Xenopus tropicalis: one gene and its partners. The protein of the gene in region 7 interacts with the protein of the main gene of each other region in a pairwise test. Links are inferred from orthologs where the notes say so. Each region holds a gene or a part of one and is shown on either strand. Other genes may lie near its edges. The genes, in order: taco1, casp7, ccdc148, tcf25, kcna4, hoxb9 and sat1.

Region 1 (4,576 bases), on a different chromosome or scaffold from region 7:
ACTTTACACAAGATATACATGACTTAACTGTATGAGAGTGCCACCCCAAGCTAACATACTTCCAGTAGTCATACCTTATATATATCCTTATCCTCCTCATCCTGTTCTTCCTGCACATCTTCTGCTCCAGCCTCAATTGCTAGCTCGAGGGCCTTCTCTAATGGGACATCACCTCCATCTTTGTCATGAGTCCGTACAGTCACCACCCCTTTCTTTTCAAAACTATGCCGGGCTCCATCACACATCACCCCACTGTGGATTAGAAAACAAAAGGTACATTCAGAAATTATGCACAGATTATACATGATTTATATCAGTGTCTGCTCCAGTGGACCTTACACTCTAAGGACCCTATCACATTCAGGCATGGTATGTTAAATTCTCTAGGAAGCTAATTAACCTTTCTGTATGATTTTGTTGAAGAAACCCATGCAAACAAGGGGTTAACATACAAACTCTTTGCACATAGTGACTTGGCTGGAATGAAACACAAGACCCCAGTGTGCATGATGTAAAGCAAAACACACTGAGCAGCACAAGTAATGACACATACCCATTTTTGCCCATCAGGAGCTTGACCTCTGCATAGGAGCGGTTGTTGTTGTCAGTTAAAAGCTCTATGAGCAGAGAAGCTCCCCCAGGTCCCCGTCCCTCGTACAATACACAGGCAGAGGGTTTTGCTTTATCCTACAGTGAAAACAAAAATAAATGTTATCGACAACGTTTTGGTCCTTATTTAGGACCTCTCTCAAGATAGATATATATATATATATTTTTTTTTTTTGTATAAATTTATAAATGGTTTTACGGTTTTGCTATTTAGCGGTATCATCTCTATGCTCCAAACTGGGTTTATCAGCTTGTTCTACTTGCTGGCCTTTTGATGAGAATGGAAATTTCCAGAATAACCCACAAAGCATAATGTTCCTATAGCTGACCTACCGCTCCTTTGATAGCTGCCTCTATGGAAGTCTTTGGCATGTTCCGCTCCCGACACTGCTCAATCAGTTGGGATAGGGCCATGTTCAGGTCTGGGTTAGGTCCTCCTTCTGTTATTGAAGACCAAGACAGTTATCTATTTCTAGGCCCAGCAGTAACCATAAAGCCATTGGATGCATGCAGTAAACACAAGGAAAAAAAACTGCCCATTCCACCAACCAGATATGTTTCCAGCCTTCTACCTGTACCAGACCACTCTAGCAACATGTTATTTGTTGATAGAGGTTACTGGACTGGGATGCCCTATTGCACATGTTACTTATCTCACCTCTCACTGCTACTTTGATCATCATGGAGAGTTTGGCAAACACCCGGGCCCTTGCTTCATCCTTGGGACCCTTAATATGTTTTACTTTAGACCACTTGTTGTGACCAGCAGACATCATTAAGGAGGTGTGGAAGTAGGTCTCCTGAGAGGCAACAACAGGAAGGAACCATCGACCCAAAGGTTCTTGGCAAAAGAGCAATGACCTGAAAGCATGTTTTCTATGGGCAGAGCAGATCCTACTTAAGACCAAAGACATAATCCTAGCAGGAGACAATTCTGTGGGACAGAGAGAATACATATATACATAAATAAGCTTGTACTGGAGTACTGACGGTGCTTCATCTATAACATTATATATTTGATTGTACGTGTTATTGTATAGCTTGTATATGAAACACCCCAACACCTTATAAAAGTCCCCTGCAGAAGTATTACTCTTCCTTTTTAAACAGACCCCTGCAGCAGGTTTACCCCCACTCAGTAACTCAGTGCCAAGAATACAAGCTCCCTGCAGAAGAATAACTATGCCCCAATACCCCTACAATCAGCCCCCTGCAGCAAGATTACTCTTCCCCTATAAACAGACCCCTGCAGCAGGCTTACCCCCACTCAGTAACTCAGTACCAAGAATACAAGCTCCCTTCAGAAGAATAACTATGCCCCAATACCCCTACAATCAGCCTTCTGCAGCAAGATTACTCTCCCCCTATAAACAGACCCCTGCAGCAGGCTTACCCCCACTCAGTAACTCAGTGCCAAGAATACAAGCTCCCTGCAGAAGAATAACTATGCCCCAATACCTCTACAATCAGCCCCCTGCAGCAAGATTACTCTTCCCCTATAAACAGACCCCTGCAGCAGGCTTACCCCCACTCAGTAACCCAGTACCAAGAATACAAGCTCCCTGCAGAAGAATAACTATGCCCCAATACCCCTACAATCAGCCCCCTGCAGCAAGATTACTCTTCCCCTATAAACAGACCCCTGCAGCAGGCTTACCCCCACTCAGTACCAAGAATACAAGCTCCCTTCAGAAGAATAACTATGCCCCAATAGCCCTACAATCAGCCCCCTGCAGCAAGATTATTCTTCCCCTATAAACAGACCCCTGCAGCAGGCTTACCCCCACTCAGTAACTCAGTACCAAGAATACAAGCTCCCTTCAGAAGAATAACTATGCCCCAATAGCCCTACAATCAGCCCCCTGCAGCAAGATTACTCTTCCCCTATAAACAGACCCCTGCAGCAGGCTTACCCCCACTCAGTAACTCAGTACCAAGAATACAAGCTCCCTTCAGAAGAATAACTATGCCCCAATACCCCTACAATCAGCCCCCTGCTGTTGTCCCCTGCTGCAAGAGTTGTCAACTAGTAATGGCTAGAGCCTAGGCAGCCCAGAGGCCACACAACTCTAGCCCATGACTCTCATGTCTCCCACTGGTAAGCCCAGCACCACAGACAGGTACTCGCAACCATTACATTGAGTCTCTCTGGGCCGCTAATACCTGCTGCTCTACAGACTCTCTCACTTCCTGCACAATGACCTACTCTTCCTCTCCGCTAGCTAGGCGGTCACATGGTGCAGTGATGTCACCGGTGACGTGTGTAGGTCCTGCAGCGGGCTAGGAACTGGCCCAGAGTAAGGCCTGAGCCCCCGGAGCCCTGGCCAAGCCGGATATGAGGTGACCGGAGTCGCTGACGGGCCGCGGGGCAGACCCGGGGAGAGAATAACCCAGAGGAGGCGGTGGGTTCAGTAGCAGAGGAGGCGCTACATACAACTTTACCTAAGAATCGGGGGAGGCCTCAGGGCCCGGGAAACTGACAGGGCTGCCCGGAATAGTGCCCCCTGCTCCGCCATGGGTAAGTACTGGGGCCTAGTCACTGGCTATGGCCGTAACGCAAGCTCTTGTACGGGCACTCTCCCCCGCTTGTCTGCTCGGCCACTGACATTCCTCTGGGGGGTCACTTGCACTCTCTGGCACTCTATCACTGTCTCTCTGTCTCATTATCACTGTCTCTCTGGCACTCTATCACTGTCTCTCTGTCTCTCTATCTCTGTCTCTCTATCACTGTCTCTCTGGCACTCTATCACTGTCTCTCTATCACTGTCTCTCTATCACTGTCTCTCTATCACTGTCTCTCTATCACTGTCTCTCTGGCACTCTGTCTCTCTGGCACTCTGTCTCTCTGGCACTCTGTCTCTCTGTCACTGTCACTCTGTCACTGTCACTCTATCACTGTCTCTCTGGCACTCTATCACTGTCTCTCTGGCACTCTATCACTGTCTCTCTGTCTCTCTATCACTGTCTCTCTGTCTCTCTATCACTGTCTCTCTGTCTCTCTATCACTGTCTCTCTGGCACTCTATCACTGTCTCTCTATCACTGTCTCTCTATCACTGTCTCTCTATCACTGTCTCTCTATCACTGTCTCTCTATCACTGTCTCTCTGGCACTCTGTCTCTCTGGCACTCTGTCTCTCTGTCACTGTCTCTCTGTCACTGTCTCTCTGTCACTGTCTCTCTGTCACTGTCACTCTGTCACTGTCACTCTATCACTGTCTCTCTGGCACTCTGTCTCTCTGTCACTGTCACTCTGTCACTGTCTCTCTGTCACTGTCTCTCTGTCACTGTCACTCTATCACTGTCTCTCTGTCACTGTCACTCTGTCACTGTCTCTCTGTCTCTCTGTCACTGTCACTCTGTCACTCAGTTTCTATCTCTCACTCACTGTGTCTCTCTCTTGTCACTTACATACACTGTCCGTCATATTCTGTGTCCTGCTGTCATTCACTGCCTCTCTCTCACTCACTCCCTGTGTCTCTCTCTTGTCACTTTTCTGTCTCTTGCTGTCACTCACTGGCTTTCTGTGTTTCTCTGTAACTTGCATACACTCTTCTGTCACTGTCTCTTATTGCCACTCACTGTAACTTATTTAGCACACACTGTCACTCCCTGTCTCTCTCATCACTTATATGCTCTCTTCTGTCACAGTCTCCTGCTGTCTCTGTCCCTGTCTCACATGCATTGTCATTTACTCACTGTCTTTCTAACTCACATGCACTCACTCACTGTGTCTCTCTTTTGTCACTTTAATACAATGTTCTGTGCCTCCTGCTGTCACTAACTGTCTCTCTAACTCGCATGCACTCCTTCGCTGTGTCTCTCTCTTGTCATTTAAATACAATTTTCTGTTATTAGCTCCTGCTGTCACTCACTGTGTCTTTCTGTAACTTACTCACTGTATGTCTCTTGTCTCTGGCATATCTTTCACTGTTTCCTGCTCTCACTGCCTCACTCACTGTCTGTCTC
Region 2 (3,873 bases), on a different chromosome or scaffold from region 7:
CAATGAGGCCACACATGTGACTGATCACAGGGCACTCGCTCTAGGGCCAAGGGTTGGGGGGGCGGTTAATGTCGAGATATTTGCTAAATATTTTTCTTGTCCCATTTACGGGATCCTTATTGCTCATTACACAGACACTGTGAGCCCGGCATTGTGACTTCTGCCCGTAATTGTGACAATTGTGTTGACTTTGGCCGGCGCCGGCGGAGCGGGCTCGCTTCCATGCCACGAGGGCACAATGAAGTACCTGTGATGTCGTCGAAGTTCTTGTTGTTGATTATGATGCATCGGCCAACTTTCCCATAATTCATCTTGTACTGGAAAGCCGGGGTAACAATCCGCACATTGTCACTCGCTTGGGGGGGCTTCTCTGGGTCCTCTGTCTTCTTCTTCTTCGTGCTGTGAGGGGAGAAGAGGGAAATAACATGAACCCCTTTGTTTTTTTCCATATGTAATAAAAGGCACTAAGTTTGCCCAGGAGCAGTAACCCATAGCAACCAATAAGATCATTCGCTTTTAACAGGTGACCAGTAAATACTTCCTGCTGATTGGTGTCTTCTATTACATAACCTCCTAGGGTGGGACTGGGGGGTACAGGGGCCCCAGCTGTGGTCTCCACACCCCCCCATAGGGACCCCCACGACCCACCTAACCCCCCCCCCAGCATGTCGAGGGAGTGAGACTGGCCTGGGGAAGCTCCCAGCAGGTATCGGGTCTGGGTTTTTACCCAGCACCAAATATAATACAGAGACCTTTAGGGTTTGGTACCATCAGGGTCGGACTGGGGGGTGAAGGGCCCACCGGGGCTCCCGTCCCAGGGGCCCTGCAGGTGCCCCAGCCAAGCGCGTCCCCTAACCCCCCCTCGAAGGGGCCCCACTGACCCCCCTCGCAGGGCCCCCCACTCTCGTCCTCCCCCGAGCGCGTAAATTTGACGCGTCAAGGGAGGAGCGGTCGGGAAGGGGAACGCCGGCCTAGTCCGACCCTGGCTACCATGTCCCCTCTTGTGTCCAGGCCAGACCCATGGCAATACAATAACTCTCCCAAAGGCCCCTGGGTAATAATAGCAGAGGCTTCTGGCCTATCACTAACATTCATGTTTGTTTCCTATTGGTATGTCAAGGACCAGTAATGCCCTCAAATTATTATTATCTTCATGTTTACATGGGTCCTCCACCCAGCAGTACATTCCCCGCCATTCTGGTTCTGACTCCTGAAACAATGTAGCAGAAGCCAGCCAATTTTAGCAGTCCAGGAACAGATTGTTACTTAGAATGATATTTCCTATAAACAACAGACGCTCTATGTTAAATGAGAAGTTTTAATCCTATAGTTCCGGGGACTCTGCCCTCACCTACCTCTGCTGCCTAATCTTTTGCCCTATTGCCCTATTTCAGCTTTCATAACTGCCCCCGTGGTCACACAGCAGCTTCTTTACTATAAATAAATCATAGTGACGCTTCTGAAGCAAGAACCCCTCTTGTGCCAGTGTGGGGTAATTGTACTTGTTTAAAGAGGTGTTACTTGTCCTTTAAATATAAAGCAGGGGAGGAGTCACCACCCATATTCTTGGCTGCGTAATGTTTACAAAAGGGTTAATTTCTTTAAATTATCTTAATTGGAACCATTCAGATACGAGTTTATTGTGAGGTTGTACTGCCCCTCTCTCTGTAGATATATCTATATATATACTGTATACACATGCGCTGTTTCTTTAAATAAACATCAACCCTAGTGACCTCGGCTCAGAGAATATTTGGGTCGGTTTCTTTGTATTTTCTGCAAATTCTGAATAAGTGATGGACAGATTAAATCTCCCCTGGGGGAAAACAAATGTTTCACGTTCCTCCGCCCAAGCAAAGGGCAGTTCTATAAATAGCCACACATTGGGGTGGAAGGGGCAAAACAACTGGTTACAACTATTATTAGCTCCAGGGCTAAAAATAGAGACAAAAACACACAAAGAGGGAAATTTCCTGAGATTTGCACAAATTTGTACATTGTCCTAAACCGGACCCAGTAAATTCCTATCCTGTACCTGTATAAATGAATTATATTTATATAGAGGAAAAGAAGTCCCAGTTATTCCTATCCTGTACCTGTATAAATGAATTATATTTATATATAGGAAAAGAAGTCCCGGTTATTCCTATCCTGTACCTGTATAAATGAATTATATTTCTATAGAAGAAAAGAAGTCCCGGTTATTCTATAGAGGAAAAGAAGTCCCGGTTATTCCTATCCTGTACCTGTATAAATGAATTATATTTATATAGAGGAAAAGAAGTCCCGGTTATTCCTATCCTGTACCTGTATAAATGAATTATATTTATATAGAAGAAAGAAGTCCCGGTTATTCCTATCCTGTACCTGTATAAATGAATTATATTTCTATAGAAGAAAAGAAGTTCCGGTTATTCCTATCCTGTACCTGTATAAATGAATTATATTTATATAGAAAAAAGAAGTCCAGTTATTCCTATCCTGTACCTGTATAAATGAATTATATTTATATAAGAAAAGAAGTCCCGGTTATTCCTATCCTGTACCTGTATAAATGAATTATATTATATATAGGAAAAGAAGTCCCGGTTATTCCTATCCTGTACCTGTATAAATGAATTATATTTATATAAAGAAAAGAAGTCCCAGTTATTCCTATCCTGTACCTGTATAAATGAATATATATAAGGAAAAGAAGTCCCGGTTATTCCTATCCTGTACCTGTATAAATGAATTATATTTATATAGAAGAAAAGAAGTTCCGGTTATTCCTATCCTGTACCTGTATAAATGGATTATATTTATATAGAAGAAAAGAAGTCCCGGTTATTCCTATCCTGTACCTGTATAAATGAATTATATTGATATAGAAGAAAAGAAGTCCCGGTTATCCTATCCTGTACCTGTATAAATGAATTATATTGATATAGAGAAAAGAAGTCCCAGTTATTCCTATCCTGTACCTGTATAAATGAATTATATTGATATAGAAGAAAAGAAGTTCCGTTATTCCTATCCTGTAACCTGTATAAATGAATTATATTGATATAGAGAAAAGAAGTTCGCAGTTATTCCTATCCTGTACCTGTATAAATGAATTATATTGATATAGAAGAAAAGAAGTCCCGGTTATTCCTATCCTGTACCTGTATAAATGAATTATATTGATATAGAAGAAAAGAAGTTCCAGTTATTCCTATCCTGTACCTGTATAAATGAATTATATTGATATAGAAGAAAAGAAGTCCCAGTTATTCCTATCCTGTACCTGTATAAATGAATTATATTTCTATAGAAGAAAAGAAGTTCCGGTTATTCCTATCCTGTACCTGTATAAATGAATTATATTTATATAGAAGAAAAGAAGTCCCAGTTATTCCTATCCTGTACCTGTATAAATGAATTATATTCTATAGAAGAAAAGAAGTCCCGGTTATTCCTATCCTGTACCTGTATAAATGAATTATATTTATATAGAAGAAAAGAAGTCCCGGTTATTCCTATCCTGTACCTGTATAAATGAATTATATTTATATAGAAGAAAAGAAGTCCCGGTTATTCCTATCCTGTACCTGTATAAATGAATTATATTTATATAGAAGAAAAGAAGTCCTCGGTTATTCCTATCCTGTACCTGTATAAATGAATTATATTTATATAGAAAGAAAAGAAGTCCGGTTATTCCTATCCTGTACCTGTATAAATGAATTATATTTATATAGAAGAAAAGAAGTCCCGGTTATTCCTATCCTGTACCTGTATAAATGAATTATATTTATATAGAAGAAAAGAAGTCCCGGTTATTCCTATCCTGTACCTGTATAAATGAATTATATTTATATAGAAGAAAAGAAGTCCCGGTTATTCCTATCC
Region 3 (3,873 bases), on a different chromosome or scaffold from region 7:
CATAAAATTATGAGAAAATTGGCTAAATTCTAGTTTATGAAGAATTAAAATTAGTAATAATAAATTGAGGCCTTTTTTCCAATTATATTTGATTTTTCACTTACATGGTTCTTTTCATTCTGTAATTACACATTTATAATGAGAAATAATGAGAAGTTTTAATGGGATGTTAATAAATCTGCGCATACATTGGAGCGATCACTGAACTGTGCCTCTGGAGGCAATTAAACAGCAGCAAATCCTTGCTGAAAGGGACTATAGTGGCAACATTTCTATTTTCAGATGATAAAGAAAGGCAAGGAAATAATGCCTGATTAAAAGCAAGGTTTATGAGAGAAGGTTTATGAGAAAAACAATTGTAAATTTGGATTGTTTCTGAGTTAACAAACCCAAACGTGAAGCTGAGAATGGTTGGCTCCATATTAAGGGGAGTGGCAAGGAGGTGTAACCAAGGGTGGTTCACCTTTAATTTAACACTTAGTATGTTATAGAACGTCTTATTCCTAGCAACTTTGCAATTGGTCTTCATTTTTTCTATATTTTATGGATAATTTGCCTTCCTCTTCTGCCTCTTTCCAGCTTTCAAATAGGGGTCACTGACCCCGGCAGCCAAAGGAACAATCACTCTGTGAGGCTACTATTATTTATTACTATTTTTAATTGTTTATCTTCCTATTCAATCCCTCACCTATTCATATTCCAGTGGCGTGTTCAAACAAATTCCTGGTTGCTGATGTAAATAAGACCCTAGTAACCGAATAGTTTCTGAAATACCAAACTGGAGAGCTGCTGAACAAATAGCTTAATCTGAAAAACCACAAAAAATAAAAAATGAAGATGATTTGCAAATTGCAAGTCGTAAGGCAGGGGTGGCCAATACATCGATTGCGGTCCACCAGTCAATCCAGCGTGGATTTCTGGTGGACCACGATGAAGCCGGGGATGTGGAAGTGCTGTGTGAATGCGTACATACGCTGCGTCACGTACATATGCATTCACACCACACTTCCACATTACCTGGTCATCCATTGATCGCCAATGAGAAAGGTCTGGCCACCACTGTCGTAAGGTTACTCTATTTGCTTACCTGTTACCCCAGGCTGATGTTCCATTCCTCAAAAAGGTACCTGCTCTTAGCTTAGACATGCATTATAAAGAATGAAAGTGACTGTACTGATAAATAAAGGCCATTACTTGAGCTATTGCTTTGCTGTCTATGGATAATGTTCCTTTTAAAGCATTTACTAACATTTTCAAATAAAAAATAAAAAAAATGGGACATTTAAGCCCCTGATCCAACTGGCCATGCCCAGACACATACCCTAATCTGTGTAAAACCAGACCATGTTATTAGGCCGCACAGCAAAGTCATTCTGTTCTCTCTTTGAAAATAAGATATTTTTAGGAAACGGCTGGGTTTTTATTTATTGTTAAGAAAAAACATATAGGATGTGTCTTTCCTGAATCAAGCATTTGTACCTTCTGTATTACTGTAACACTGTAGTACTGAGAAATAGAGGCAATTAATGAGGTTGGCTATTTAGAATAGATGGAAGAAGATTATATACTGAGGGTGTGAAGAGAACGATGGCAAAATTGAAATGACAAATGTTAGGGGGAGTCCCTTATTCTTCAAGCGATCCAATTATGGCTCATACAAACAGATGGAGCTAACTTTATATAACTCTTGGCTCAGGTAGCTCACTACATCCCACTATGTCAGTCTATATTATAAACAGACCACAAACAGCCCCTTTCTATTAAAATGAATGCTATACCATGTTGTGTCACGTTGAGCCATGTGTACAGCATTTGCTCCATCTGTAGGTTTTTGTCTGTAGCATATCATCATTGTTCAAAACATGTCTTCAAAATGCAGGTATGGGGCCTGCTATTCAGAATGCTCAGGACCTGGAGTTTTTCAGGTTTTTACATAATTTGGATCTCCATGCTTTAAGTCTACTTAAAAATCAATTAAACATTAATTAAACCCAGTAAGACTGTTCCGCCTCCAATAAGGATTAAGTATATATTAGATGGGATCAAACTCAAGATACTGTTTTCTTATTAACACAGAGAAAAATAATTTAAAAAAAATTGCACTATGGAAGATGGCCTACCCCTAATTTAGAGCTTTGTGGATAACGGGTTTCGGATAATCGATCCCAAACCTATAGTATGACTTCACTAAAGCCTCTTTCAACTGGTGTGAATGGAAATCGGATAGAAATAAATTCATATGCGTTTCACGAATGGGACATTTAAATGACACGTGATTATGGGACGGGTAGAATACTGGGGAGGGGGAATGCGTGGGGAGATCACCCACCTTTTCATTGAGTTCAGTACATATCTCCTGTTGCTTTTTCCTATCATTTGCCAGAATGATTTCAGTTTCATATGCAGAGCAGGCTTCAGCCATAGTCATGATGGCTTTCAGTACAAAATCTTTCCTGTATCGAGCCCAGCTTTCCAGCAAAGCCGCCCTTTGATCTTTAGCGAAACGATGAGCATAATAGAGATTTTCATGGTTGACCTAGGGAAAGTGCAAGGAAGCATAACTACGTCGAAAGTATCCATAGAGCAAGGGACATGCATGCACTATCATCAATGACTATCAACAACAGCAGAGCTGAAACACAAATTATCGTGCATTTAAGCCTGGATTTTACTGTATATTACTTAGGATATAAAATATACTCACCAATTCCTGTCTTGCTTTGTGAGGTAAATGCTTTGACAGCATATCTATATATATAGCTCTTCTGTTGGGAAGGTCCTGTGGATGCTGGTTAATAATGAAGTACAAAATCCAATGCTCCTCATCACTCCAACTACAGTTGCTGAAATGTTATAGATTGTGGATAAAAACATGTTGGCAATTACATTCGTTAAATGCCAAATAAGTCAATATACACAATACAAAAAGTTGAATTAAACTAGAACATTAAGGCCCCAATAACAAAGGTCAGAGGTGCAGTTACCCATAGGAATCAACAGTTAGCTTTAATAACATTGACATGGACATTATTGAATGGTTGAACAATGCAAGGTGACTGGACACAAGGTGATGGACATATACAGAAAGACATTTAAGGCTAATGCCACACAGGGCTGATCCTCAGTGAATATTTGTAGAATCAGCACCTACGATGGCCCAGCCTTTTTCCTGTGTCTGCACCTGGAGCCATTGCGGCGGCCAAGGCATATGGGGTGGATTTTGGTGAAGAAACTGTAGGGACCCATAGGCATAAATGGCCCCTATGGCTTTAAATCCCTACATGTTCAGTTCCCTTAGTTGCTGGGCGGAAGGGAATGTATCTAAGTTCATTAACATATGTGTGCTATTGGCTAGCAGGGATGGTGACCACTTCCTGCCTCACTTTGGTATAGTGCTGGGAAAGGAGTGGCACCTTCCTGTTTGCTTCCCCCTGTGGAACAGGGTGGATGTGTGCTCTGAGCCCGGGGCATGGGCCCAGGCCCAGTGAAGTCGGCACAGAGCTCCTACATAAGACTTGCAGTTTTGGAGGTATCTCTCCCAGGCTACATTGCCTGTAGTGTAGGGATCCCAGTGAATAGGGAATCAGGATAGAGAATTCCCTGAGGGATCCACTACGGGGTGTGTGGCAGAGGTGAAGTGAGATTCCTGCCAGGTCTGTCCGCAGAGGAGTGTTAGTCTGTATTACACTCTGTATGTGTTGCCTGTACCACTGGCCTCTGAGAGCTGTATTGTGAGTAACCCTGTGGATGTTCAATAAACACTTATTATTTTATTTGCAAGAACCTCTGGCGCCCTCTGTTTTCATTTTTCTGCATAGCAGGAGAGGTGTAGTTGCTCAACACCCTCACTTTCCTTTTACAGTTAGCGAAGGC
Region 4 (4,305 bases), on a different chromosome or scaffold from region 7:
CTAAATGCTACTAAAACTTAATCTACTATGCTTGAAATGTCCCCACCCTAATGTATCTCCAAGTATTCACCAAACCATTATGCTTTTTTAATTATCTGCATTGCTCTAACTGGCAGAGCCCTCTTTTTCTCCTGCATTTGTCAGTATCTGTCTGTACATTTACTATACAGCGCAGAAAGTTGGGTAGTCTAAGAACTTTAGGTGGCCACACACGTGGCAATTTTCGATCTTTCGTGCGACATCGTTCCAATCGGCCACTGACGTTCAGGGCTGAAACGGCAGATATGGAGGCAGAAACAATAGGATTTCTACCTCCTTCTGCCGATTCAGCAGAAGGCAGATTTTGCTCAGACGTCTTCTATGGCGCCCGATCAAAATCTTTTAAACCACCCGATTGGCGAGTCGACCGATATCAGCAGCCTCCTGCGATATCGGTTGCCTCGCCGACTTGCCATACACGCGTGTATGGCCAGCTTTACTAGTCAAATTCCGCCTCATTTACATTTCCCTTTTTTGTTTGCTCTTCCATTAGGACACAAACAACAAAGTGGATGGTCTCTAATTAAAAGCAAGTATGCTATCCCTCTTATCACTGCTTTGCCAAATGTGCTCTTCTGTTATGGAAAACATAACATCATGGGCATGAGCTGATGATATGTTACCTGGTTCTCTGAAATAGTGCATTTCTTTGATTTCTTCTTTTTTTTCTTCTTCTTTGGTTTGTTGCTTGGAGCAGCCTATTCAGGTACAGAAATGGCAGGTAAATATGCTACAGAAAAAAAAAACAAATTCCTAATAAAAGCAGCCGGTTGGCTGATAAATACTCCCATATTCTAAGTAACTCCTCTACTATTATTTCCTCACCTGGTTCAAAGCAGGATCTTCAGTGGCATCTTGGTCCGTCTTACAAGTATTTGTCTCTTTCTCCTCATTAAGCCTAGGATTTGTGACATGCTTGATGTTTGAATCACTCCGAGCATCACAATCATGGTCAATTATCTACAGACATAAACCAAAAAGCAGATATGACAAGTGGTTCAAGGACTAGATTGCTAAACTTTATAATGCTCCAAATAACACAAGCTGACAGATCAGTTGGTACCAATGGCCTGAGTCTCCAACAGACCCTGAAGGTCCTCATTCTTATCAGACCCAACTGTCCCTTAGGCTAATGCCACACAGAGTGATAAATCTCTGCTACCATGGGTGACTAATCTTCCCAAAATGCCTTTCCACTGGCAACCAAGAGAATCTCCAGTGGAAAGGCCTACACATCGTGGCGCGAAGTTTCCAGCTGCAGGTAACTTCTGAAGAACTAAGCAATGTGTAGGTCTTTCCACCAGCGATTTTCTTTGTTGCCAGTGTAAAGATTTTATCGCCCTTTATAAATCTCTGCTACCGTGGGCTACTAATCTCCCCATGGGACATTAGCCTTACTTTCAGAAGTATTTTTATCCAAACACAGCTGATTGCACGGAAAGGAAAAGGCAGGATGGTAACTTTTAGTACGCAGAGTGGGTGGTGTGAAGTCCTCTTGAGAAAAGATAAAGGAATTTAGATTCGCAGAAAGCATCACTTTCACTTAAAACATGGTAAGGGGGGGTCCTAACAGCCTCTGTGGGGTGGGGATATGGTCCCTTTGAATCAGAGGCAGGGTATTTCTTGCCTAAATGTACATAGGTTGGATATTCCTCTGTTGAATGGTCCCTAGATTCTTCCTCAGTGCTGCTCTTGAATGTTGACAATTTTCATGAATATCCCAGCTCAGGCTAAGCAGCCATCAGCTAGTGTTTGCAAACAGGCCATTATACACAGGACTGAGCAGGTGCAGGATGCATTCTTCACTTCATATTAAATATAAGTATTATATAGTATTATTCTAGGGCAATTTGCAATTAGTCTTCAGTTGGTATGGCTTTTAAAATATTTATTTCTGTTCAGCAGCTCTGAGCCTTGGCATTTCAGCTGTTATCTAGTTTCTAGGACTTATTTACACTAGTAACCAGACAACAGTTTGGAAGTCAGAATGGTAGACAAATAAGAGATGGCCTAAAAACTAAAACCGAACCATCTGAACATTAATGCTAATAAGGACAGAAATACTGGGCTGAAATGCTATATACCACTCTATACCATACATAAATTTCATTTGCAGGTAAACTTTCCCTTTGTTTCCTAATGTTATGCCAAGATAATAAACACTTATCTAAGATCTATGGTTCATAGAGCACTTTACTGTAGGGAGAACATTAGCCTATCTCTCCACTGAATTATAATGTAATTGTACCAGAGAGTGTATGCAGAACTCCCCCCCCCCCAGCTGGGCTTATATAAAACTCACTTGGCCCAAACAGGCCAGGGAAACCGAGCCAGAAGCTATAAGTCAGAGCTGCGGTTGACAAGCAATACACCAGAGGGCTGCAGTTACTGCACCTGTAGGGTAGGTGTCACTGGTGGTTCTCACTACTGAGAGGATGTAGCCAGCTGATTACTAGTTGTTCCTAACCAACAGTACTGCACCTATCACTGCTTGGTCTAATTCATGTTCCCTTATGGCCGGTTCTGGCTCTGTACTAATCTCACATATAGGTCCCGGTGTCCCTGGATTTGCCTTCCCCCACTCACCAGCTGGAAGGGGTTATTTAGGCCCCGCTCCTCCAAGAGTTTCCGGTTTCCACGTGCTTTACGGCTTCGCGGTTCCGGGAGCTTTGGTGCTTCTTCTTCCTCATCGTCTTTTTCATTTTCGTCTCCTCCAAGGGCCCCGGGCTCCTCCTGTCCTCTCTGCTCTCCTCTCAGCCTCCTCAAGGCCCGACGGGACATGGCACCTAAACAAACTCACAGGGCAGAAGCCCAGGAAGGATTTGCAGCCAGGCGCATGCGCTCAGGGTCATTAGCGGCTCGTAGCGTGTAATGCCTATACATGACAGCCTGGGGGCGCTACTGTAACATCTCATTCAGTAAATCCAAATAAAAGACGGCGTTATTCAGCAGCTAGCTCATGCTGTTTGGCTCCTTTAGTAACTGCTGATCTTTGTCTCCCAGCATGCCCTGTGAGGCCAGGCTCAGGCTATCTGCATTAAGGGGCTGCGGGGAGATGAAACGTTCTGACAGAAGATTATACATGCTAGACAAGGGGTATCCCTGGGATGTATGACACATGGGGGGAGATTTATTAAGACATAAATGCTCGGAGCGTTCGAGCGTATTTTTGACGATTTTTTCACGCTTGCACGACTTTTTTCATATGCTTGCGTGAATTTGGAAAGGTTCTGTCGCTGTTTACAATCGTTCGGTATGAAAATTTAGTGACTTTCGGATCGTCAATACGATATTATCGTGACTAATACGATTTTTTCGTAAAAATTTTTGTAATATTTGCAATCTATCAGAAATTATCGTGTCCAATCCAAATTTTTCCCATTCGAACTCGTGTTTTTATGAATCGGCCCCAAAATATGCAAGTGTTTTTGTAATGGTTTCAGCCAGTACTAATTCTAAATGTGTGCACTCATTCAGATACATAGAGGTATGTAGTCTTACATGAAATTTAAGAAACATGTTCAATTGATAATATGGGGACAAGTATGTTCAAAATGTCATCTGAAATTAACAGGAGCAGGAGCTCATTCAATTGCATCAGGTGCATTATTATTATTATTCTTACAGTGCATATTATCATAACTTTCATATGGACCATTTCTATATGCTCTTTAGAATAATTCAATCCCTCCCAAACCTAATTTTATTGTTAAATGATGGATACTGGCACTTTAGTATGACAAAAACTACATTTTCCATCTAGACTGGATAGAAACCTTGTACAGTAAATAAAAACATACCCCAAAAATCTTTGACACATGGCTCACTAACATTACCTCCCCTCAACCAATCAAATACTTAACAATACTTGGTTTTCAATACACCACTTGGTACAGTGCTGAAATACTCCAAGGCAAACCACGAAGCGGAACAGGCATTTTCGTGTTCAAACCTCCCAAGGCAACCTTAAACATATGCAACTGCCAGGAGTCACCTGACAGATTATTAACAAACTATTTGGAATGATTGGCATGTACTAAAATCCTATAGCTACATCATTAAAACCAAAATTCTATAATCACCTCCCCACCACTGTGAGAAGTTAATTTAGGATTGTTTTGGATACATTTTACAAGATTATTTGTTTCATTATTTCCACTCTCTTCTTCTTCTATCTATTGAACAACCAATGTTACTTTATCTCAAGAGCTTTGTTTATTTTAAAACTTAAATAAAGACAATTCATAGAAAAAAAAATGGAAGTCC
Region 5 (3,873 bases), on a different chromosome or scaffold from region 7:
CACCGAAATATAACCAGCAGGAATCTCCAGATGTCCTGCTTTAATGATTGTCTAGAAACTTCAACATTACAGAAATGGTTCACAGTACGATGCCTCGTTGAATTTCCCCATTTATCCAGCATATGCTGTTGTGCAAAAAAAAAAAAAAACATTCCCTATCAATGCACGACAAGCAGCAACGGGGAAAAAAAAAGTTTCAGTCCTGTCTTTGAGCCTCACCTAATAAATGCTCTGCGAGCAGCGATACTGTGCATAGTTGGCAGCCCTTACTGATTGCAATTTGGGATAAACATTTAGATAAACTCTTATCCAATGGAGGTACGGGGCAGCTGGTTCATTTTTAAAACTGCACAGTAAAGTCAGCATAATTAAGTGTAGCTTAAGTGGAACGAGAATAACATTTTTAGGATTGTTTTTCTCGCTCGATATCTCCTATATTTGTGCTAATCTCATACTGAGGAATTTAGAAAAAGAAAATAAACTGAGAACTTATTTCTTAAAAAAGACTAGTTATCGGAGCACTCTAATGAGTTTAGATATATCAGTGCAGAAACATTGCTTTCTATAAAAATCTATCATTTTAAAATTCTTTAGTCTACCCTTTCTATGCTTGATATGTTAGACATGATGTATATCCGATTACAGAGTATTCCACACATAAGAATTTAGCTCCTTAGCTATTAGGAAAAGCACAAATCGCGTTGCGGTATCAAGATAGGAATCTACAGCAAACCGCTGTTTTCTAAAATTCTTTTGATGTGGAATTCTTTGAAGAATAGACATTTTTGTAAAAAATAAGCAAACGAGTAAACAATGTCATTTTACTGGGTGCCAGGTATTTCTGAAGACACAGCAGTCGTGTACGGCAAAATGCATGCTGTTCTCTTTTCATGGTTTCTGCTTTATATTAAATAAGCATCATGTACCCCTCTCTACTGCAGACTGTCACACTGCAATATTATTATCTATGGATGGACAACTCTCTTTAGAAAAAAAAAAAAAACGAAGCCAGAGAACAGGCACTGCTATTCTTGTAGCATCTGATCTGGTCCCAAGTTTGTAGGTTCTTACAACAGGAAGCCACTATATTTCACACCTAATCAGAAAACTGGCTGTCACATTTCTGATTAGATTTGCATATTTCATTTGTTTTATCACTGCACTCTTCAATGCATAAATAGACTCTGAGAAAGTTCCAAAAATATATTTCACTATTTCACACATCAGTTTCCAGAATTTTTAAATTCACACAGTTATACTTAATGGTCTCGTTGCCATTCCCTGTCCCCTCACTAGCCTTGTCTTTTATACAGAGAGACTCTTTGAGCCCTTCCTCCATTTCTAAGTATTCAGACTTGTCCTGTAGAGAGGAAGAAGTGGAGCTCCTCAACTTTTTCAGCAGGTTGGTGGGTAAGTATGGGCAACTGGAGCTGCTTTGTGTCAACTGTGTTTGTTCTTCATTGTCAGTTTCCCTGTGGTAGAAATAGTTAAAGTTTGAAACTATCACTGGCACTGGTAGTGCAATAGTCAATACCCCTGCTATGGCACACAGGGAGCCTACTATCTTACCCCCCACAGTAATGGGTTTCATATCCCCATAACCCACTGTGGTCATTGTAACAACAGCCCACCAGAAGGCATCAGGGATACTGTGAAAGTGGGTTGTGGGTTCATCGGCCTCTGCAAAGTAAACAGCACTTGAGAACAGAATGACCCCAATGAAAAGAAAGAAGATGAGTAATCCCAGTTCCCTCATGCTGGCTCTCAAGGTGTGACCAAGTATCTGCAGCCCCTTGGAATGCCTGGACAGTTTGAAGATGCGGAAGACCCTAACCAGGCGAATGATCCTCAGAATGGCAAAGGACATGGCCTGTTGTTGCTGCCCAGTCCCCTGGGGAAGTTGTTGCCCTGTGCCTAGAGCAAGGTGCTGCTGTTGAGGGGGATGCTGCTGCCCAAGCTCGGTACCCAGGGTGATAAAGTAAGGCAGAATGGACACAATGTCTATTATGTTCATTATGTCTTTAAAAAATCCAGGCTTGCTTGGGCAGGCAAAAAGGCGCACAGCAAACTCGAAGGAGAACCAGACTATGCACACAGTCTCCACTATAAAAAATGGGTCATTAAACGCAGTGTGGTCTGTCAATAAAAAAGTTGCATTGTATGCCCCGCCCTCTCCATCCTCCCCTGTACCATCATCCCCCATCCCCAGCGGAGACAGCAAACTATCCTTATCGTCCCTGAACTCGGGTAACGTCTCCAAACAAAAGATAACAATGGAGATAAGAATGACCAGCACGGAAACGATGGCGATGCCCCGGGCTGGACCCGAGCTCTCCGGGTACTCAAACAGCAGCCACACTTGTTTCTTGAACTCATTTTCCGGCAGCTGCTTTTCTTCCTCTTTAACGAAACCTTCATCCTCGCGGTATTTTAGCAACGCCTCCTCGCCCAATTCGTAAAACTTGACCTCCTCTGAAAAGATGTCGAAGGGCACGTTGACCGGCCGCTTCAGCCGTCCCCCGGATTGGTAGTAGTACAGGATGGCGTCGAAACTGGGACGGTTTCGGTCGAAAAAGTACTCGTTCCTCAGCGGGTCGAAGTAGCGCATCCTTTTCTCCGGGTCGCCGAGCAGCGTCTCGGGGAACTGGGTCAAAGTTTTTAACTGGGTCTCGAAGCGCAGCCCGGACACATTGATCACCACCCTCTCGCAGCACTCAAACTCACTGTACACAGGGTGATAGCCATCCTCCTTGGGGCTTCTCCTCCTGTGCAGGCTGCCAGCCTCATCCTCATCATCCTCACATAAGTAAAACTTTTGGTCCTCCTCCTCTGACACCTCTTCTTTGAGCATCATCTCCTCAGAGCCACATGGCCCCAGCTCCGAGGGGAAGGTGCCTTCCTCTTCTCCTCCTGCTCTTCCTCCTCCAGCGCCTCCGCTGCATTCGCTGTGCCGGCTCCTCCACCTGTTGCAGCCGCTTAGTGGCCAGTACCTCCGCCTGGCACTTCTCTTTCTCTGCGCTGACTTCTCCTCCTGCTGCTCTTGGCTCTGGGGTGCGCGCCGCGCGTTCCCGCCAGCCCCGCTGTTCCCCTGAGTGGCGGGGGCGCGCCCAGCCCCTTGACAAGCGCCGCCCCCTGAGTTCCCTCCTTCTCCAGCTGCGGCGGCGGCGGCTGCGGCTCGGGAGTGCGCCAGGCGTTCCCGTTCGCGGGCCCGCGCTTGGGCATAGCCGTAAGGCAAGTGGCTGCTACAGCCGGAGCTATCCGCACTCACCATGGCAACCTCCATCTCTGCTGTTGCTGCTCACGGCTTACTGTGCGGCGGGGAGACTGCTGAGTGCTCTGTACCACCCTGCCATGGTGGCTCCCCCAAGGCAATAAACTTATTCAAAATAAATTCAGTGATTTTTAGTTCATTATTACTCATGCAAGGTCATAAAAAAATAAGAATGCAAACACCCTCATGGTCTCAGGGGTAATTCCCCCCCCCTCTGCGAGTAAGGAGTCAGCGCAGGGAGCTCTGTGCGGGCGGAACCAACTGGCCAGAGAAGGGGGGTGCGGGCAGAGAGTAAATGTGCCAGTTTGTAGGGGGGGCCGCTGCCCATAAACCATAGAAATAAAGGTTAAAAATGTGTGGTTGAGCTGCTTTAAAGCAATATTGTGCTGTAGGAAATAGGAGCCAGTGAGTAGATAGGCAGGTTATGTCAGAGTTCAGCCAGATAGCTCTCCAGGTAATTGTTCTAGAAGCAACAACAAGTTTGCAGGGGGGGTTGCTGCCCAAAAACCATAGAAATAAAGGTTAAAAATATGTGTTTGAGCTGCCTTAAAGCAATATTGTGCTGTAGGAAATAGGAGCCAGTGAGTAGATAGGCAGGTTAT
Region 6 (4,392 bases), on a different chromosome or scaffold from region 7:
AAATATTTATATTATTTTATAAGCAGTGTATATCTTTCTCTGTGTGTGTAAGTAACAAGGACACACACACACACTAATTAGTAACAGAAATATATTGTGGCTGGTATTTCCATACGAAATGAAGAATTTGCAAAGCATAAAAGCCCCTGGATGTGCTTATGGCATGGCTCAGCTCCGCTAATAGGAATAAGCTTTATGTCCTGTGCATACAGCAGTCCCATTGCAGCTTAACAAAGGCAGAGTTTTTCAAGTAGGACAATAATTATTAGCCTTAATATCGCCTCCGTTCCTGAACCCCGATGGAAATGGTAGAGTAGGAATTACAAGCCACACACACGATTCCAGCCCCTGATCGCATACAAATTAATGTAATAAAATATACATGATATTCCTGGCTGACTGTCTGGCCCTGCCTGGCGGATTGTAAGGGTTCAGTCCCCCCTGTGTTAACTCTGGTGTCTCTTTTTCTGCTCAGTCTCTAAATCATTTGCATGGGAATGAAATATGAAAGTGAATTAAAAAGTTAATATTTAATAAAGCGAACACGACTACTGATCAGCATTGCTGCCTGTGTGTATGAGTGTGTGAGGGGTGGATTCCAGAAAATATCATTTATTTATCCCTATTAGTATTAATAATAATAATAAAATAATAATAATAAAAAAAAATTCTCACTACTGAAGTGATATTCCGCTCCATATTACTATTATCTGGAAATAAAACAGGCACTTTTTAAAGCTGGATTCTGATCAATCACCCTGAAATAATAGGCAGTATATCACATTGGGGGGTACACTGGCCTTTCCCTTTGACCCTCAGCACAACAATCTTTGCTAAAATCGCCTGCGATCTCCCCAATTCCTTTGGTTGGACCGTTGCGTAAACGTTTACGCGCAATTCTTCACAGCGTTTTGTCAGCCTGCACGGATATTAAATCCACAAGCTGCAAATCCCACTCTCTCCATCCAAGGCTTTTATTGTGGAGTTTGTTCTGGATCCGTGCCCAGTTTAGTGGAATATGGTTTTTAAAGTGCAGTTTAACTCCCATGCATAATACCCTCATTTATCAAGGTAAAATGCTTTTAAACCGATCATTACATCTGCAATTGCTTAATATTAAGTGGGAAATATAAAAAGGTACTAGGTGCCATAAACACATCCACCTCGTAAGAGTGGTGATTTTGCAAATGGGATCGGTTGCCTTTATGAATCATTTTCACCTGTGCCGACCAGATAAATGGCTGTACAATCGTCCAAACAGATCGCACGGCGGAATTGCACTAATACAAGAGGTGATCATTTTGCATTTACAAACTATTTTATGCTGCCTGCCAGATACTTTGCTGTAGGGCATATATATTATGAATTATGTACCTTTAATACGGTATATTAAATATTGGAAGCTCTTTTTTTCCCGTCTTCTTCCAGTGGTTAAATATATAAATCGCCGGCGATATTAATATAATATTTTCGTAAGGCTGTGAAATATAATGGCTGGGGCAGGCTTGTTGTAAATCCCCGATCTTATGGGTAATTTGGTAAGAAAATTTAGATTCTGGGAACGTTTCTGCTACAAATATTAACTGTGCCTGGATATTCCCCCCTCCTGTATATTTTACAGATTGTGGTTCCTTGTGCTGCTAAGTTATCCGTGTTATTATCGTCGGGGATTTGTAATATTTAGCCAAGGATTTTCCTAGCTGAATATTTCGTGTAGATATAAATATAAGTATTTCACCTCTGCCAATAACATGGGGCCTTATGGTTTAAAATATAAATCCTGTGGCTGATTTGTCGGTAATGTATAAACACTGGGGCTGATTTGAGTCTAGTAATATTGCAATAAAGTCGCACTGCTCTGGCTGAAATGTATATATATAATTGGGGGGAGTTTTATTCGATATAAGGAAAGTGTTAGTTTACCGTGTGGCCTGTTTAATTGGGGGGATATGGTGTAAATACAGGGGTTGCCTTGGGGGGTATATCTTGGGGCTAATTCCAAATATTATGGCTGATTTGGATCCAAGTTATTGTGGCTGAGGGTGGAAATATTGTGGCTGAACTTTGTTTGAGATATAAATATTGAGGAGGGATTTGATTACAAATATAAATGTTCCTGGCTACTGTGATGGATACTGTGGCTTGTTTAACTACCTGTGCGGCTGGGTGACTACAAGGTGGAAAGATTTCAGGCTATTGCCGGTGCCTGGGGGGCTCTCCCCTGTGTTTGCCCTGCTGGCCAGGAGCACATACACTTCCTGACGGTATATTGCCCTTTTATTGCCCCCTTAGGCTTTTGTCTCCCACTTCCTCGGTGCAGAACTTACTTTGATGTGTCCTGTCTTTGTCCCCGCTTCCTTCACACAGTTTATTGTCCGGGAAAGTGGCCCTTTCATTGGCATCTTCTCTTGCAGCAGGCGAGCCCAGATTGTACTGTTGGGCTCCCAGTTTGTCCAGCTCCCCCGGGGGCCCCAGCAGCGGCTCAGACTTCACAGTTCCTTGGCCAGGTCCATTCTCTGCTCTTTGCAGCGGCTCCAGCCAGCCCCGTAAGTACCTGCCCTCCGGAGTGGGGGCGCCCTGCTGGATGTAGGGGTGGTAGACAGAAGGCAGGGGGCTGGCTGGGTGGGGGTTCAGAGGGCTCCAGGACGCGCTGAATACAGGAGCTTTGGGCTGGAAACTACAGGAGGGAAAGTCCAAGGGCTCAGAGTGAGCTGAATGGGCTGCTGGCCGGGGGCTGGGGTACTGTCCAGAGAATTTGGCTGCTGGAGCCTCCTCACTCTCAGGGCTTATTATTGACTCCACAAAATAATTACTGAGAGTCCCAGAAATGGCCATTCTCGGGCATCCTACTCAGCAGCTTCATTGAAGGGAACAAGATATAGGAGCTCTCCCCTCTCCCAACTTGCTCGCCAACTCGGTGCACTTGGGCTGCTGGCGTGTGAGCTCCTGGCAAATGATTGGTCAAACTTTCTCCGTGTGCCTGATAAAGCGTCAGAGGGCTATTCATCAATCGGAGGGGCCGCACGGAGCTGTCAGCATTCATATCTGGGAGCCATTGTTTTATGGGCATGAGGGCTGGGACACGCCTGAGATCCGACCAACAACGCACTCCTCAGCCAACAATTTGAAACTTGGGTGACACCTATTTCTGTGCAGGCTCTGGTGCCTTTTAGTGAAGCCACAAGACAATCTGGCACAGGGGGGTCTGGGTGCAACAGCTTGGGAGGGCGCAGCAGTCTCTCATTCAGCTGTGCGCAATTGGCCGTGTGCGCAAATCAGTGCGCAATTTAGCAGAACGGTGCCTCTCGCTGCCATAGCATGGCGGCTGCGTACAGTCTGGCTTGTACAGTACGGATTATAAACAGTATATTTATAGTTAGTGGCCCCTTTCCCTACACTGACTATATGCAAAATAACAGACACCAATTAGGTGGATATTGGATGTGGATATTTTATGCCCCCTGTATCTGGAATTGTGTTTCTATTCATATGAATACACCGTATTTCCCAGGCAATGTCCCCATATAATGGCAGATATTGCAAAATGTATATGGTGCCAATCATTTCCTAGGAGGCACTGCTGATTGATACCTTACACTAATTTTATTTAACTGCCCTTCCCCTACCCAGTAACACTATTTACTCACATTGTGCCAAAGTGCTAGTGTCCCTATGACCCTGGTTTATTTCTCTGCACTAGTATGAAATGGTAACCACAAATTGTCACCAGTTACAGACCATTGTACAGTGCCCAGCCCTGCAGCATGTATATGTATGTTCTGCACTACTAGCACTATGTCTGCTTGTTTATTTTAACTTTATACAATTGCCTGTACCCTGTGCAGCACTGATTTAAAGTGGTGGCTGAGGCCTACAGACTGGCCCATAATATAATCAGATATATAAGTAGTAATTTGCCATATTTATATCCTACACTGCACTACTGACACTATGATCCCATTTGCTTTCTGTATAACTACTTATGCCCTGCCTCTCATCCAATAAATATATTTTTACAGTCACATATTATGCCAAATGCCTACAGCTTATATACTGCCAGGTGTTGCCATTCTGTACTGCGCTACTGACACTGTGACCCCACTATATCATTTCTCTCTGCCAAAGATACAAATATAAGATGGTGCCTACACACTGTCCCATATTGTGACCAAATATTTATAACTCACAGGCATTTTATATGGTGCAGCTTTATCCAAGATAAGTGACTCTGTGACCCCATGGTTACTTTCCATTTATATAACAGCTTACCAACCATAACATGGGGCAAACATTTTGTCCATAATTACAAGCTTATATTGTATTATTCGTACATTGTATTATTTCTTACATGAGCCATTGCCTGTATATAACACTTTGCACCTGCTTTGCGCT
Region 7 (4,333 bases):
CTTACATGAGTACAAAGAGGTTTATTCTGTACATGCTTTCTAAAAGGTTTGTTTCCAAATGGGCACAAACTTTAATGTGAAATTCTAGTTAAAAAAAAAAAAACCACAACCAACCACACACAAGGCCCTATGCATTCCAAATAATAGATTCCATCATTGTACTTTACAGAACAGCTGAATTCGCCAGGGGTTTCAGTATTAGGCACATCTCCCACAAATCAATTAAATCTAAGTTTCTTAAGCAGTGCCAACATCTTACATGTAGTTCCCAGGCACCCCCAAGCACAATTAGGAAAATGTTAGTATACTGTGCAAGTCCATGTCTATTGAGGGATCTCTGGGAACCACAGGTAAGATGGTGGCACAGCACAGCCACTTGTTAACTGCCGATATACAAGAGCCTTTGTACGCACACAATATGCTAGACCTTCAATTTAAAATTATGGAAACACTACTCACATGTATTTTTTTTTTTAAGCTTTGTTTTTATTTTCATATCAAACATTACAACATTTGTAGTGATATTATGTTACATTTATGTATTTTATACTCTACTTACAACATTTGAATTTAACGTATAAAAAAAAAAAAATGTGAACTTTTAGCTCATACCTGTTCGTCCAGGGCCTTGTGCATACATGTATTTTTAAAAATCCATCCACACACTGAGGCCTAATACATATGACCTACCTCTGAACTCATCCATCACAAAGAAGTCTTCAAGATAAAGCAATTTTCCAATCCACGGGTCATAGGTGAAGTAGTACATTGCAAACCCAACAATGGTGTATCCTATAAACAAAGAAGAGATCAAATGAGTCCTGAAATTAAAAAAAAAAAATCGTGTACAAGGAGAAAAAAAACAAAAACACAAAAACAAAAGTAATTACAACCACAAGTCAGGAATATTTCACAGTTGTTTGACTAGAACTCCCAGAATGGTGAGGAGAGTTAGAGTACAACTGTTAGCCGTCCACAGGTTGTTGTACTTGACTGCTTCACATCACAACCTTGAAAGCAAGTTATTTTTCCAGTCTGAGTGCTGCTAAAGCATTGTCATTGCATTTGAGCAAATAGCATGTTCTACTTTTAACCAGCATAGCGGAGCACTTGTATTAACATAATACATTCCTTTTACACGGCAGTTCAGAAGATTATGAAAGCCCCCCCCCCCAGATGTACAAATGGGAACCAGAGATGCAACAGATCAAGCACTATGGTTTTCCCCAATTTGTAGCACATGGAAAACAAGGAATCAATACAGGCAACCCATCATGCTGATCACCGATTCCTCAATACTAAAATACAAAAATAAATCTGTACTAGAAATCACAACAGTTCAATCGCACAAGGAGGGCAGGAGTTACCAAAAACATCAGGTTTAGTATTAGAAATGGTCATAATCAGCCAAGAACTTAACTGGAAAGACACTGTTGGAGAATTTAAGTCCGTATTGCTTGATTTAGGTTTCCAGGGAGGGGTGTGGGGGGAAAAAAAAAAAAAAAAAAAAGTGGGGTAAAATAAAATCCATTGAACAATGGAGAATCTTCCGTGAAGACTCAGTAGCAGAGCATGGATTTCTGATCTACCGTGTTTGCTGCTTTAACGTGTCAGCGATTGCCCGTTTGCCTTACCTCGTTTCATGATCATCTACTTTATTGTGTAACGGATCTTTTAGTTACCTCCCCGCCCACCCATGTACACGGAAGGGCCATCCATGTACATGGCGAAGCTAGAGACTGTAACCTGAAGATTGGGACAAATTAAAGAGAAAATAGGATTTAACAAAGTTTGCATCTGCGCACATTAGGGTCAAAACAAATGCCTCAGATTCTGGGAAATGGGGCAAGAGGGAAAGTAAAAATTACCATCAGCACTCTGGGTCTCCTTAGGCACTTCAGCAACAAGACAGTGGTAAAATGGATGTTCTCCAAATCCATCTTCAAGCAGATCTGTACAGAAGAAAAATCAAATGGTGTAGGAGTGAGTAGGAGACAAAAAAATGCACTCCCCAATGTATGTGTGCTTAGCAGCAAATGCTCATGGGAGCAGCTTGGCAGGCAGCCCAGGACACAGAGCAACACAAACTAAATATCAATTGTTTAGATAAAAGAAATTGTGCTTCCGAGACAAGTTTGGCAGAGATACACACCCTCTACGATTCCACTTACCTTTCTCAGTTAGTACTACTTGGTTCTCCATATCTTCATATTTTGCCAGTTCCTATAAGACAGGAAGATTACATCATTGAGTAAAAAGGGGACATTGTGTAACAGGAGCAGTACAGCAATACAGTTCTACAACTGCCTACAGTAGCAGATTAGCACTCAAAGGGGTACTAAAAAGCAGAACAGAATATTCCCAACATCATACTGAAATCCCATTCCCTCATCTCCTACCTCCCTTGTGGGTAACCACAACCCCCAAGCCAAGTTACAGGTTAAGTTGGGACAAACTAACCCAGCAGTGCCAGAAAGCCACACAAGTGACCGTTACATATAAAGGTCCTAGTTTGAAACTTTAAAGGAGAACTGTACAAATGTAAGTACAACAGTGAATGCTAAAGGCTTTCAGGGAATTCTTGTAGTTCCCTACACCCAGGGTCAAAAGCTCTTGACTCAAAATGAGTGAAAGGGCAGTTTGCTACAGATCTTGTCACCTACAGCAGCCAATCAGCACAATGCATTTACGATTCACCTGTTTAAAAGCAAACTGATTGGTTACTATGGGTTACACCACCTGGTCGAACTTAGTACCTTCCATTACAGGTGAGAAAAATAGCGAAACCTCAAAGTAAAATCGCAGCTACGTTACAGCAATGCACCTTTATGAGTCGCAAGATATCTTTACAGTCCCCGGCATTAGCAGATCGTATGATAAATTTGGCCATTTTCTTCTCTTGCTCTTTTTGCCTTTTCTGACAAGTCCTCTGTATGTGAAGAGTAGTAGGAGGTGTTTCTTCATTCGCTTCCCAGGAGTTTCCTCTCCTTAGTCAGTCTGGGACCCTGACCCGGCAGAGCTCACTCACTGCAGCCACCGTGATAAGAAAACTTCGACGACGAAGTGCAAGCGCGGAACCGAGAGCAGGGTATTTATTATGGGAGGGAGCTCCGCCCTCTCCGCACTTCCGCCAAACAATTACACTTGTATAAGCGGGGCTGAATGGCCACGGCCCATTACGTATGAGGTGATGATTCCCAGAAATGACTCACTAGAAGTTTAGCAGGGTTTTTAGAGTGGAGCTGCCACTTAGTGGCCATTATGTTAAACTACAACAACACAATGTTCGGTGTACTTTTTGGAAAGATTAGTACAGGTATAGGACCCGTTGTCCAGAATACTCTTGACCAGGGCCGCCATCAGAAATCACGGGGCCCCTCACAAAAAAAATTTCTGGGCCCCCCTCCCACAAATACAAAGGACTCACAGATATGAGACATTGGTAGCCAGCAGGCCCCCCCCCCCTAGTACATTGGTAGCCAGCAGGGCCCCCCAGTACATTGGTAGCCAGCAGGGCCCCCCTAGTATATTGGTAGCCAGCAGTGCCCCCCATAGTACATTGGTAGCCAGCAGGGCCCCCCTAGTACATTGGTAGCCAGCAGGGCCCCCCCTAGTACATTGGTAGCCAGCAGGCCCCCCCCTAGTACATTGGTAGCCAGCAGGGTCCCCCTAGTACATTGGTAGCCAGCAGGGCCCCCCTAGTACATTGGTAGCCAGCAGGGCCCCCCTAATACATTGGTAGCCAGCAGGGACCCCCCTAATACATTGGTAGCCAGCAGGGCCCCCCTAATACATTGGTAGCCAGCAGTGCCCCCCAGTACATTGGTAGCCAGCAAACCCCCCTAGTACATTGGTAGCCAGCAGGGCCCCCCCCTAATACATTGGTAGCCAGCAAACCCCGCTAGTACATTGGTAGCCAGCAAACCCCCCTAGTACATTGGTAGCCAGCAAACCCCCCTAGTACATTGGTAGCCAGCACAGCACAATCCTCCGGCGACGGCTCCGGCGACGGCTCCTCCGGCGAGGTCCTTCGTTCCCAACAGCACTGCACTTCTGAGTGCCGAACGACGCCAGGCCCTTTTATAAGGTTGCTCCCCGTGCGTACTGACCACCAATGACAGGGGCCCGGAATAGATTAAAGGGGGCCCCAGCTAAGAAAACTGTAGCAGCGCCGGGCCCCCTTTTAAAGTTAAAATCGTCCGGGCCCGGGACGGCTGTACCCCCTGTACCCCCCTGATGGCGGCCCTGCTCTTGACCAAGGGTATTCTGGATAACGGGTCTTTTCTTAATTTGGATCTCCATACCTTAAGTCTACTTAAAATCAATAAAACAT

Evidence for each region.
Region 1: the proteins of sat1 (region 7) and taco1 interact in binary tests that used the Homo sapiens proteins (3 or more experiments, as listed by UniProt). The two-hybrid records come from large-scale screens. The link is inferred for Xenopus tropicalis from reciprocal best matches to the Homo sapiens genes SAT1 and TACO1.
Region 2: the proteins of sat1 (region 7) and casp7 interact in binary tests that used the Homo sapiens proteins (3 or more experiments, as listed by UniProt). The two-hybrid records come from large-scale screens. The link is inferred for Xenopus tropicalis from reciprocal best matches to the Homo sapiens genes SAT1 and CASP7.
Region 3: the proteins of sat1 (region 7) and ccdc148 interact in binary tests that used the Homo sapiens proteins (3 or more experiments, as listed by UniProt). The two-hybrid records come from large-scale screens. The link is inferred for Xenopus tropicalis from reciprocal best matches to the Homo sapiens genes SAT1 and CCDC148.
Region 4: the proteins of sat1 (region 7) and tcf25 interact in binary tests that used the Homo sapiens proteins (3 or more experiments, as listed by UniProt). The two-hybrid records come from large-scale screens. The link is inferred for Xenopus tropicalis from reciprocal best matches to the Homo sapiens genes SAT1 and TCF25.
Region 5: the proteins of sat1 (region 7) and kcna4 interact in binary tests that used the Homo sapiens proteins (3 or more experiments, as listed by UniProt). The link is inferred for Xenopus tropicalis from reciprocal best matches to the Homo sapiens genes SAT1 and KCNA4.
Region 6: the proteins of sat1 (region 7) and hoxb9 interact in binary tests that used the Homo sapiens proteins (3 or more experiments, as listed by UniProt). The two-hybrid records come from large-scale screens. The link is inferred for Xenopus tropicalis from reciprocal best matches to the Homo sapiens genes SAT1 and HOXB9.

What each region holds. Positions count from the first base shown.
Region 1 is NC_030686.2:17,081,872-17,086,447, reverse strand, and holds the start of taco1 (translational activator of cytochrome c oxidase 1), read right to left. Parts: upstream 2,902-4,576; 5' UTR 2,816-2,901; exon of another isoform or gene 2,747-2,815; intron 1,544-2,746; 5' UTR 1,524-1,543; coding exon 1,268-1,523; intron 1,050-1,267; coding exon 943-1,049; intron 688-942; coding exon 554-687; intron 253-553; coding exon 75-252; intron 1-74. Other genes in the region: map3k3 (mitogen-activated protein kinase kinase kinase 3), read left to right, coding at 3,124-3,127. UniProt on the Homo sapiens protein: Acts as a translational activator of mitochondrially-encoded cytochrome c oxidase 1.
Region 2 is NC_030683.2:3,709,225-3,713,097, reverse strand, and holds part of casp7 (caspase-7), read right to left. Parts: intron 400-3,873; coding exon 248-399; intron 1-247. UniProt on the Homo sapiens protein: Thiol protease involved in different programmed cell death processes, such as apoptosis, pyroptosis or granzyme-mediated programmed cell death, by proteolytically cleaving target proteins.
Region 3 is NC_030685.2:73,759,900-73,763,772, reverse strand, and holds part of ccdc148 (coiled-coil domain-containing protein 148), read right to left. Parts: intron 2,844-3,873; coding exon 2,705-2,843; intron 2,537-2,704; coding exon 2,330-2,536; intron 1-2,329.
Region 4 is NC_030680.2:59,798,168-59,802,472, forward strand, and holds the start of tcf25 (transcription factor 25), read right to left. Parts: upstream 2,881-4,305; 5' UTR 2,821-2,880; coding exon 2,626-2,820; intron 1,000-2,625; coding exon 865-999; intron 738-864; coding exon 663-737; intron 1-662. UniProt on the Homo sapiens protein: Component of the ribosome quality control complex (RQC), a ribosome-associated complex that mediates ubiquitination and extraction of incompletely synthesized nascent chains for proteasomal degradation.
Region 5 is NC_030680.2:19,914,042-19,917,914, reverse strand, and holds part of kcna4 (potassium voltage-gated channel subfamily A member 4), read right to left. Parts: 5' UTR 3,284-3,873; coding exon 1,217-3,283; 3' UTR 1-1,216. UniProt on the Homo sapiens protein: Voltage-gated potassium channel that mediates transmembrane potassium transport in excitable membranes. Forms tetrameric potassium-selective channels through which potassium ions pass in accordance with their electrochemical gradient.
Region 6 is NC_030686.2:12,098,235-12,102,626, forward strand, and holds the start of hoxb9 (homeobox protein Hox-B9), read right to left. Parts: upstream 2,946-4,392; 5' UTR 2,836-2,945; coding exon 2,328-2,835; intron 1-2,327. UniProt on the Homo sapiens protein: Sequence-specific transcription factor which is part of a developmental regulatory system that provides cells with specific positional identities on the anterior-posterior axis.
Region 7 is NC_030678.2:43,098,084-43,102,416, reverse strand, and holds the start of sat1 (diamine acetyltransferase 1), read right to left. Parts: upstream 3,054-4,333; 5' UTR 2,891-3,053; coding exon 2,825-2,890; intron 2,224-2,824; coding exon 2,172-2,223; intron 1,953-2,171; coding exon 1,869-1,952; intron 793-1,868; coding exon 691-792; intron 1-690. UniProt on the Homo sapiens protein: Enzyme which catalyzes the acetylation of polyamines. Substrate specificity: norspermidine = spermidine >> spermine > N(1)-acetylspermine. This highly regulated enzyme allows a fine attenuation of the intracellular concentration of polyamines.